Coturnix japonica: one gene and its partner. The protein of the gene in region 2 purifies or fractionates together with the protein of the main gene of each other region. This does not show direct contact. Links are inferred from orthologs where the notes say so. Each region holds a gene or a part of one and is shown on either strand. Other genes may lie near its edges.

Region 1 (5,511 bases), on a different chromosome or scaffold from region 2:
CACAGCGACGCCTCGTCTCCTGTGCCAGGAAAGCCCGGCTCCTCCTCTTCCAGTTCTCCCAGCACCTGGAGCTCTGGAGACTTGGCTCTACTAATAAAACTGGTACGTCTGCGGGTGGCTGTTGGGTACAGACCTCTGTATTTAACCCCAGGGCAGTGTCTGGAGGACTACAGGGTGCAGTGTGCCAGAGCAGCAGAGGAGTGGTGCAGCCCTACTCTGCTTATGGTTGTGTTACCCAGTGCACGGTGTGTTACACAGTGCACAGCCATGGTGCTACTGGCAATGTACTCTTCCTGCTGAGCTGGATGGTGCCCTGGGGAGCTCAGCCTCAAGATGGCTGGGGAAGGGTCTGGATCCATCCTGGTGTCTGGTACCACTCTCCCTGGGTTTCCTGTCTTTCTTACTGGGGTCTGCATGGTTTCTGTTGTTGCTGATGCTTAGTTGTCATCCCAGGAAAGGATGGAGAGGTCCTTCCCGTGAGCCGGATGCCAGAGCACCTCCTGCAGCTCAAGAGCAAGGTAAGGCTGAACTGGGGCTGGCACTTGTGCTTGGCACCTCTGCTTCCTCTGATGGCCAAACTGCAGGTGCCAGGAGGTTCTGCAGACCCCATTCAGCACCTCTACATCCCCAGGGTCCCGAGCACATCTACTGCAGCTGCGTCTCACCCTGCGGCAGCTGGATTGCCTACAGCACTGCCTCTCGCTTCCACCTCTACCACGTGCAGCATGAGGGCGACAGCGTCAGCGTCAAGAAGGTGGAGGCTGGGGAGGCTCACAGGGAGCTGGGGGCTGTTAGTGGCACAGTGTGTGGGTCAGCAGCAGCGTGACCGCCGGTGTTGCCTTCTCCCCCTGCAAGGTCCCTGGTGTGCCCAAGCTGCTGCTCCCAGCCTACCAGCTGCAGTGTGCTTCCGACTCAGGAAGGCTCTTCATCGCCTCCGACAGAGGCTCTGTCCATGTGCTGCAGCTGCTGGAACCGGGGGGCTGCAAACACCTGCACACGCTGCGCCCGCCTGCAGGTGGGGAGCCCTGGGGCCCCTGTGGGCACATGGCTGAGGCTGCTGCCCTCGGTCTGGGACACTTTGGAGTGGTTGAAGAGTTTCTTGTGTCTGTGTAGCATTTGTGTGTGGTGTTGTTCAGGGACCCGGGAAGCTGTCTACCTGCTGGCATCGAGCGCTGATGGGAACTGGCTGGCAGCGGTCAGCGGGGACTGGGAGGTGCACATCTACAGCCTGAAACACTTCAAGGTACAGGCAGGGCTCTGTGTGGGGCCCCCCGTGGTGTCCCATGGGCACTGGGGGAGGACCTGGTGGGTGTCAGAGGGCACGTGGGGCAGCGTTGTCCTTCTGCCTTTCAGCACCACTGCACAGTGCCCACCTACAGCTGCGCAGTGACAGCCCTCGCCATCCACCCAACCACCAACAACCTTTTTATCTCCTATTCGGACCAGCAGGTGGGAGCTGTGCCCTCAGCAGCCCTGTGCTGCTTGGGACCGGCTGTGTGCTGCCATTGGGCTGATGATGGGGACCCATCTTTTTTTCCTCCGCAGCTTTTTGAGTTCAGCATCCCCGAGAAGCAATACACGGCCTGGAGCCGCGCGGTGCAGAACAGCGGGCTGCACAGGCTGTGGCTGGAGAGGGACTCCCCCATCATCCACATCGCCTTCAACCCCAAGAACGCGTCGCAGGTCCTGCTGCACGACGTCTACATGCTGTGTGTCCTCGATAAATCCCTGGTGAGCCGAGAAGGGCCCCACTGGAGCGTGCTCTGCAGGGGCTGCTCGTGTGGGCACAAAGGGAAGGGCAGGGGGTGTGCAGCACTGCAGGGGGTGTGCGGGGCTTAGTGCAGAGCTGCAGCACTGACAGCAGCACTGACAGCAGCACTGACAGCAGCTGTGCCCGCAGCCCCTGCCCGACAACAAGACCATGCTGTCCAACCAGAGCACCCTGAAGCAGCTCTCAGAGCCCGCCCGGCGCCGGCAGCTCCACGCCTTCAAGATCTGCAAGAAGTTCCAGGTGGGCAGCTGTGCCAATGTGTGCAGCTCATCCTTGGGGGCGCCCTGAGCACCGCCCCGGGCCGGGCTCCCCGTGTTCCCGGTGCTCACCCCGTTGGTTGTGCTCACCCCGTTGGTTGTGCTCACCCAGTTGTGCTCACACTGTTGTGCTCACCCGGTTGTGTTCACCCGTTGTTCCCGCAGCCGCTGCTGTTCGCGGACCTCCTGGACGAGCGCTGCCTGGTGACGGTGGAGCGTCCCGCCGTGGACATTTGCCCGGAGCTTCCCCCGCCGGTGCAGCAGCAGAAGTTCGGCACTTAGCCCCGCTCCATCAATAAACGCGCTGTTCTCGTCCTTACCGTCAGCGCTCAGCTCCGCCCCGCGTCCCCCGCCCGCGCCATGGAGTCCCGCCACCGCCTCCCCCTCCGTCCAATCGGAACGCGGGAAGCCGCCCCCGCCCCGCCCCTCGCGCCGCGCGCAGCCAATGGCGTCCCGCCATGCGGGCGGGGGGCGTGTCCTGGCGGTGGGGCCCGTGTCGGGGCGGCGCGGCGCGGCGGTGTCGGCATGGCCGTGTGGACGCGCGCGTGCAAGGCGGGGCTGCTGGAGCTGCTGCTGCGGGAGCGCTGGGTGCGGGTGGCGGCCGAGCTGAGCGGGGACGCGCTGAGTCTCACGGCCGAGCCCGGGGAACCCGGCCCGGGGCTCAACGGCGTCGCCAACGGCGGCGGAGAGTGGGGCGGCGCGGAGGCGGCCGTGCCCGGCTGCGTGCGGAGGGTGCGGGTGGTGAAGGCGGAGGCGGGCGGGCTCGGCATCAGCATCAAGGGCGGCCGCGAGAACCGCATGCCCGTGCTCATCTCCCGCATCTTCCCGGGGCTGGCGGCGGAGCGGAGCGGCGCGCTGAGGCTGGGCGATGCCATCCTGGCCGTCAACGGCACCGACCTGCGGGATGCCACCCACGACCAGGCGGCGGAGGCGCTGAAACGCGCCGGGAGGGAGGTGATCCTGGAAGGTACCGGCCCCGCGTCCCACCCCCCCAACCCCCGTCCCGCTCCCCGCCCCGGGCTGCCCTCAACCCGGCCGTGTCGGAGCCCGCTCCCTGTTGCCGTGCTCCCGGGGCTGGCAGCGGTGCCCCGGGCCCGGCGCTGCTCCCCGCGGTGCCCGCCCTGATGCTCCGCACGGGACTCGGTGCCCGCCGAGCTCCGGCTCCTGCCCGACCTGTTCCCGGCAACCTGGGGCGGGACCTGCCGGTGCGGCGCTGCCGGTGCCACCGGTGTCAGCGCGCTGCCACCCCCGCGTCCCGTCCTGATGTCCACCGGGGCCGCGTGCCGGTGCGAGGGCGGGTGCGGATTTGTGTGGCTCAGCTGCCCCCGCTGGGTCCGGGGCACCGGGGGACGAGGAGGAGATGAGCCGAGTTTGGGGCTGGGAAGAGCGCGCAGAGGCAGACAGCATCGCCCCGTGGATGTGGGTTGGGTCCCCGGCCAGCCAGGAGTGCTGACGCTGAGCCCTGTCCCTGCTCTCCAGCCCTGGGCTTCACTTGCAGGCAGCTGTGCTGGCCGCCATCAGCACAGCGGAGCAGAGCCCTGCCCTGTCCTGGGTGGGAGCTGGGAGCTGAGCTCTGGGCCCACAGGGACCTCGGTGCTGGGCAGGGAGTTTGGAAAGAGGAAGGAGGTCTGTGAGAGGAAACCCACACGTATGGGTGGGGAAACCACTCCGGTGCTTTTGGGAGGGGGCTGGTAATGTTGGGCTGCGAATGGGGGTCTGGGCTCTGCTGAGAGCCCTGTGGGTGAGCCCAGGGTGCAGCGGCCTTCCTGCAGAGAGCTGTGAGGGTGCAGCAGTGCTGGGTTTCCTTTGTGGTGAGCGTGTAGGCGTGCTGTGCCATGACAGCCGTGCTGGGACACAGCTCAGCTGGTGAAGCTGCATGTGCCGCTGCCCCCTGTGCTGCACCACACCGGTACGGCAGCTCCATGCCCTGCCTGGAGCACTGCCCCCAGCAGCATCTCCCAGCTGTTCTGCCTCTGCTGCTGCCTGTGGTTCGGTGCTGGGATACGTTTCCTGCAGTGGCCACGGTTGTACAGCCCAGCAGTGTCTGTACTGTCTTGGCCACAGCAAGGGCAGGAAAACCACCAGGTTGACTGCACCAGCACCACCCACCCAAGCATTTGGAACGTTTTGGTTGCACATCTGGTGCTGTATGGGTTCCCCAAGGACTGCAGGGTGCCCTGTGCAAGCCATGGGAGGTGGGCATGAAGGATTCATCCAGCAGCTCCCGCTTCGGGCTCAGAATCCTGCCCAGGGAGTTTCAGGGATGTGGTTGCCTGTGCTGCCGGTTGCCAGCAGCACGGCTCAGAGCACAAAGGGCTCAGCGCTCACTCCTGGGCAGGGAGCAGCAGCCCCAGCGCTCTGCTCTCCATCCCCAGCCCCAGCTGCAGGCTGCCAACATCTGGCTGCCAGCTGTGAGCCGCCTCAGGGGCTGCCGCCGGCGGAGCCCCCGTCCACAACCATCCATCCCAGGCGCTGCCCTGCCCGTGGGGATTAGAGGTGCGTGGGGAAGGAGTAATCCGGGGATAAGCGCGGCGGGAGCTAATATTATCTCCTGGTGCCCGCAGCAAGGGCAGCGCATCCCGTCCAGCTGTGTGCCGGCTCAGCAGCACCGGGCGCCCCGCGGAGCTCCCACCACGGCCTCTCACCGTCTCCTGCGTGCGGGGAGCTGCGCTTCACAGCTGTTTCACAGCAGATTACCGCTTACTCGCTGCTTTTTTTCGCTTTAATTCCCTGCTGCCCTGCGGCCGTTCCCTCCCTGCTGAGGGGGCTCCGCTCTCTGGCTGGGCCGCCCGCTGCTCGGCGTCACCCCCCGCTCTGTGCTCTGGCACGCAGCGCTCCCAGCATCTGGAACGCATTGTGTTGGCTGTCCCTGAACGTGACAGCGGGGAGCGGCGCGGTGACGGGACGGCACTCGGCGAGTGAAGGATTTTGGTTTCCTGGCGCCTACCATGTGTTTGGGGAGGGATGGTCCGCGGGGACCCGGAGTGATGCGTCCTTCCTTCCTCCCAGCCCGGAGAGGAGCGCGGGGCCGGGACGTGCTGGCTGCAGGCACCATCCCGGGGCCGTGATCGCCTGCGGCGCTGGAAACTTGGCCGCAGCGTGCGGCTGGGTGGGCAGGATGGGCAGGATGGGCTGCAGGCTGACCTCCCGCCCGCACCATTGTGCCGCACCGCCGAGCCCTTCCGATCCCCGCATCCCGATGGCAGCGGGGTGGGCCCCGTGGGCCTTTGGTTCCCGGCAGGGGTCGGCACTGGTGTGACCCCGCGTGGCCCCTCTTCCCCCCACCCTAACAGCGACCCCCTGTGTCCGCAGTGAAGTTCATGCGGGAGGTGACGCCCTACATGAAGAAGCCGTCGCTGGTGTCGGACCTGCCCTGGGAAGGGGCTGCCCCGCAGTCACCCAGCCTGAGCGGCAGCGAGGACTCGGGATCGCCCCAGCACCACGGCGCCCGTGACCGCAAGGTCATCCCGCTGAAGATGTGCT
Region 2 (5,411 bases):
TTCAAGGGTCTTCCTTCAGACCCTATGTCTGAGTGCACTGTCCAGATGCTCTCTGAACTCCGGCACTTGGGGCCGTGCCCACAGCCCTGTGCATCCCGTTCCATGCCCACCGCCCTGTGGTGCAGCCCCTTTCCCTGACCCCCAGCTGCCCCTCCCCTGGCACAGCTCCATGCCGTTCCCTCGGGCCCTGTCGCTGTCACACAGAGCAGAGCTCAGCGCTGCCCCTCCGCTCCCTGTGAGGAGCTGCAGCCGCCATCAGGCCTCCATCAGCTCCTCTGCTCTGCGCTGAGCACACCGAGGGAACAGACAGTCTAACCGTGTTGGCTTTTTATCAGCATTCCAAACTGATGCTGTTTTAACGTTTTTAAAGGTTTGTATGGCACAGAGCGTAACCTCATAGGAACATCTCTCACCTTACACCTTACCACCATGCAGATTATAGGTTTAATTATTTTTGACAATTCTGCTTTGATAGTCTCTTTTTCTTCTTTTTTTCTTTTCCCCTGTGTGCAAGGAACAACCGTGCCGCTTACCTTTGTGTAAATGAGTTTTAAGAAGCTGCATGTGTGCGAAACTAGTACAGCAGAAATGAGGGCTGCTCCGAAAGTAATGCCTCCTACTTGATTATGTTGGCCCAAAACATCAGAAGCAGATGTTGGTGGTATGGCAGAAGATGTCAAACCTTCCCACTGAAATTCTGCTCCGTTTTGTAGCCATATGACAGATGGCAGCAGAGGGGCACTGTGACACAGTGGCATCTGATGTGGAAGCGCATACAAAGGTGTGTCACTGAATTCTTCCAGGCTGAAAAAAAATGGCACCCACTGACATTCATTGATGCTGAATGTTGATGGAGACCAAGCAGTGGATGTGAGCACAGTGGGGCGGTGGGTGGTGCCTTTCAGCAGTGGTGACAGTGGCAGTGGGTCACCTCTGCTGGTGTGGATTGTTAGGAGCATGACATGCAGGCTCATGTTCATGGCTGTAGAAAATGCATAGCTAGTGGTGCTGAGCATTGAAAAAACAGTGTTTCATAGCTGAGAATTTACTCTAGTAACAAGTAGTGCCATTGTGCTCCTTCTATCTGTAGTGGTTTCCATGCAGACAAATAGGAGACACGACCTTTGCAGAAACCTACACGCTTTGGAAACTGCAACAGCTCCCAACTAATTCAGGCACAGAATCACAGAATCGTAGGGGTTGGAAGGAACCTCTAGAGATCATCGAGTCCAACCCCGCTGCCAAAGCAGGCTCCCTACACCTGAACACAACGCTCTTCTGCAAGGCTTCTAACTCAGAGCTCAGGAAAACAGAATCACAGAATGACCCGGGTTGGAAGGGACCTCATGTAGTTCCAACCCCCAAACAGCCCCAAACGCCAACAGCCCCTCAAAGCTAGGACAAAATCCGCTCTACCCGTCCCCGGACAAAGGCGCAGAGCTCGGGCAGAGGAGCTGTTAGGGCAGGCAGGGCTGCAGGGTGCAGCCGACTGAGGAGCACCCCTCCCCACACCTACAGCCGGCTCAACCCTCCCCACCGCGCTCACTGACAGCCGCCCCGCGGAGCCCCCTCCCGGCGCCATGACGTCATGGCAGTGCGCGCCTGCGCACGCCGCGCCGACCGACCCCTGTGCGTGCCTTTGCGTGACGGCGGCGGGGAGCGCGCGCGCGCCCCCGCCCTCTCTCCGTCCCTCCGTCCCTCCTTCCCTCCCTCCCTCCCCGCGCTGCCAGCGCCTATCGCGGCCGCCGCCGCCTCTTCTCCTCGCGGCTGGGAGCGGAACCGACGGCCGCCTCCCCGCCCCTCCCCCTCCTACTATTATCCTCCCGCACGGTGCGCGCTCCCGTAGCCACCCTCCCCCCCCCTCCATCTCCTCCCCGGTGCCTCGGGAGCGCGCCCGCTCGGCGAGGGAGGGATCGAGCCGGCGCTGCCGCCCGCCACCGCCGCCTATCCCCTCCATGGAGCTCGCGCCGCCCCGCTGAGCCACAGCCGCCCGCCCGCCGCTGCCGCCGGGGAGTAACCGGGGGAGGGAGGAGGGTGGGGGGAGGAAGAGGAGGAAGGTGGGGTCGCGGGGTGCGTGACACGCGCGGCGGCCCGAGGAGCTGAGAGCCCCTGCGGCCGAAGGTTGCGGCTGTTGGCGCTGAGCGGCGGGGGAGCGCGCCGCGCGGCGGGGAGCGTGTGCCCGCGGCCCCCCCCGCTTCCTTCTCCTCCTCCTCCTCCTCCTCCTCCTCCTCCCCCCGCACCCGGGGCCGCCGCCTGACGGGCGGACCATGGCCGACGACGACGTGCTGTTCGAGGACGTGTACGAGCTGTGCGAGGTGATCGGCAAGTGAGTCCCGCGGGGAGGGGGAGGGGGGGGAGAAAGAAAGAAAAAGGAGAGGGGATGGGGGAGAGCGGAGCCCCCCCCCCCCACACACACACACACCCAGCGCGGGGATGGCGTGCCCGGCACCCACCTGAGTCGCGGTGCGGGCAGCCCCGGCGCTGCCCACCGCCCTGAGGTTGGGGGGAAGGGGGGTGGGGGGAAAGGAAGGCGCCCCGGTGCTTCCTCAGCCACCATGATCCCCGCCCGGCCGGCCGCCGCGCAGCCTGGCGCTGCCCAGCCCTCCCGTTCTCCTCCCCATCCCCGGCACACCCATCGGTGGTTGCCTGCTTGAAGAAGGATCGCTGTGGATCCACCTATCGCTCGGGTGGCCGCGCCAGGTGTCGGCTCTCCCCGCGCCTTGGCGCACAATGAGCGGCGTGCTGCCGGCGGTGCCCCTGGCACCCCGTGCTCGCGCGGATCTGCCTTCGCTCCGCTCCCCGGCGGCGTGTGAGGCAGGGGGAGAACTTGGCCTCTCCTGTCTCCTTATGCAACTGTTAATGCGTGTTCGTGTCAAACCTCGGAGGTCGCCGGCGTTTTCTGGCTGCCCGTTTTGGGCCACGCTCCTGTGGGCTGCGTGGAGATGACAGCTCCGTGCGTTACCACACCAAGAAAACGCAGAGCATCCCCCAAATCAGATGGCACCGAACGGGAGCCCAACTCTCTGTATTTTCGTGACCAGCCAGTTTCTAAATCCTATTTTTGTTTTATTTCGTTGCGTTCCACACGCCTCCTATAGTTGTGCTTGGGTTGAGTGAAAGATGTAGCGGTGTTGCTGCTTCTAATTGTCTGCGTGTCTGACTGAGCAGCTGAGATTGCTGTGGGAGCCGCTGCTCTGGGTGCCTGCAGCTCTTTCTTCCTGAGGATGAATTCAATCAGAGCGGCATTCCCCGTGTTTTGATTATAAACAAAGAGTTCTTCTGCATGTATTCTCCCTCCCGCTCCCCTCCAGCGTGCTTCACAGTTTCTATCTGCTGCTGCCTGCTTTGAGAGCTCAGGCTAAAAATATTCTGGAATTAATCTTTCCTGAGGATTATACTAAAATGCTCGTCTTGGACTTAGCAGGTTACTTTGTTGGCAGCTGAAGTTTCAGCACTCTGCTCTGTCGTTTCACACGGTTATTACCACCTTGCCCTGGCCACAAACAACTTTTAAAAATAGGAAGCTTAGAGGGCCTTGCTTGCTGTCATAAGCTGAAAGGGCTTTCGCCAGTTGTTCGTGGGGAGCTTATGTAGCCGAGAAACAAAACAGTGATTATATGTGGTTTGAAGATGGTTTTTGGCATGCTCCTTTCATGAGTGGTTTTAAGCTGACCACTGCAGTTCACGCACTGCTTCCTCAGAGCTGGCTGCCATTGGAAGGAAAGTGAAGTGCTTCTGCTTGACAGGACTATGTGAGCTTATAGAGAATGGCTCATTCGCAGCCATCCAGATGTTGATGCGGCTCCACTGACTTTCGATGTTGTGATCTGAGAATATCAAAGGGATTCAAGGTTCAGAACCTGTGAATTGTGAAGCTTCTTTGGCTGATACCTGAGATTGAATTATTCTGGATGTGTTGTGATGTAACCTGATCTAACAGATAAGTGTTGGATTGTAGGAGCACGGCGCTGCCAAGAGCACTGTAACAGAACAGGGTGGATTACTGAAGCTAGCAGTGGTGGTAGGAAGGGGTTTGCGTATGGATGTTGTGTCCCTCCTCTAATAGGCACAGTTGTATTTGTACAGTTGTATGAGCAGTGTTCCTGTTTCATTGCAGTGCTACTCAGGTGACTTCTGAGCAATCGGGGATGCAGCGTCTTTAATTAGCTTTCACATTTTTGATAGCACCCCGCTCTTCTTTAGGCAACATGGGGAAAGCCTCATGTAAAATCTGCCTTGAGTTGCTACGTATGCATCTGGCTAAACATCTATCAGTGAAACACCAACTAAACGTCTGCACCTTCCCGTGATTTATTATTGATTGATTGAGTAATCTGCTTCTTGCAAATAGCACATCCGGCCCCTGACTTGTGTTTAGGTCCATGAAATATTAAAGCGTGTGATTTATCCTTCCTAAATGGGTAGTTATCGCTGTCATTTAAAGTAGTAAATGGTATTTCCAGAAAGGGTGTGGGAAAGAGATTTTGGACCGTAAAACAACTGAATATTTTGCCTGACTTTGTAAGAGAAATCTCAAAGTTCCCATACAGTCTACTTGAGAAATAAGTCCTCTATGGGTGTTCCCTTGCTGGCAGTATGTGGCCCTGTTTGTTGAAGCTTTTGAATAAACTTAAAACAGTTTCAAATGCGATAAACTGATAAGACTTATTTTGTATAAACACAATGATAATAGCTTTTTGCCGGAGTGTGGAGCAGTAACTGTAATAGTATGTGAAAGAATTGATCGGGATGACAGAGTGATGAATCGTTTCTTACGTGGCATTTAATGTGTTTAAGTTCTGCAAGCATGCATTTTTCATTCTGAATAGATAGAGGATAAAAGAAAAGCCAGGAGGGATTGAGAGAATTTCTAATCCATGTTTCCTTTAGGAAAAAAAAAAATTAAGGGCAATTTTCATTTGTGTACACTTCCAGTATCCCGATTTCTTTGCTGAATGCTGTGGAGAGATAAAAATTGAGTAATAAATCCAGTTTCTTATTAAACTTTTTTTAAAGTGGCGTCTGTGACGCTAATGTTAGTCATGTGGTTTTAACTTTGCACAGTGTGTTATGTCCCAGGTTGCTGTCTTATTTTCAGAGCTGGCTGGCACAAACACATTTCAATGCAGGAAGTTACTGGGGGTTGGCCTTCAAAAACACAGTAGTATATATGGGAATAAAAGACACAAGTGTGCCTTGTTTATATTTTTTCTAATTCAAACTTGCTTCCAGTTAGCTTTGAAGGGATTTTCACTGTGTGTCAATTAGAAGTACATACACTAAAATATTTAAGCCTCCCATCGCATTGATCAGAGCATTCATTTGATGAACAGGCTGCGGATAGTGGTGAGGTGTCCTGCTGTATTTTTCATTAAACTTTGCATTTAGAGTACATTGAGTGATTCTCGAAA

Evidence for each region. The genes of interacting proteins can lie anywhere in the genome.
Region 1: the proteins of CASK (region 2) and SNTB2 purify together in Homo sapiens (affinity purification with mass spectrometry; 3 studies listed by BioGRID and IntAct, with this or other methods). This does not show direct contact. The link is inferred for Coturnix japonica from reciprocal best matches to the Homo sapiens genes CASK and SNTB2.

The regions. Positions count from the first base shown.
Region 1 is NC_029526.1:16,871,124-16,876,634, forward strand, and holds the start of SNTB2 (beta-2-syntrophin), read left to right. Parts: upstream 1-2,367; 5' UTR 2,368-2,388; coding exon 2,389-2,995; intron 2,996-4,834; exon of another isoform or gene 4,835-4,840; intron 4,841-5,340; coding exon 5,341-5,511. Other genes in the region: UTP4 (U3 small nucleolar RNA-associated protein 4 homolog), read left to right, coding at 6-102, 454-518, 632-754, 856-1,015, 1,137-1,243, 1,354-1,449, 1,546-1,731, 1,901-2,011 and 1 more. UniProt on the Homo sapiens protein: Adapter protein that binds to and probably organizes the subcellular localization of a variety of membrane proteins. May link various receptors to the actin cytoskeleton and the dystrophin glycoprotein complex.
Region 2 is NC_029516.1:100,754,018-100,759,428, forward strand, and holds the start of CASK (peripheral plasma membrane protein CASK), read left to right. Parts: upstream 1-1,733; 5' UTR 1,734-2,267; coding exon 2,268-2,326; intron 2,327-2,453; exon of another isoform or gene 2,454-2,602; intron 2,603-5,411. UniProt on the Homo sapiens protein: Multidomain scaffolding Mg(2+)-independent protein kinase that catalyzes the phosphotransfer from ATP to proteins such as NRXN1, and plays a role in synaptic transmembrane protein anchoring and ion channel trafficking.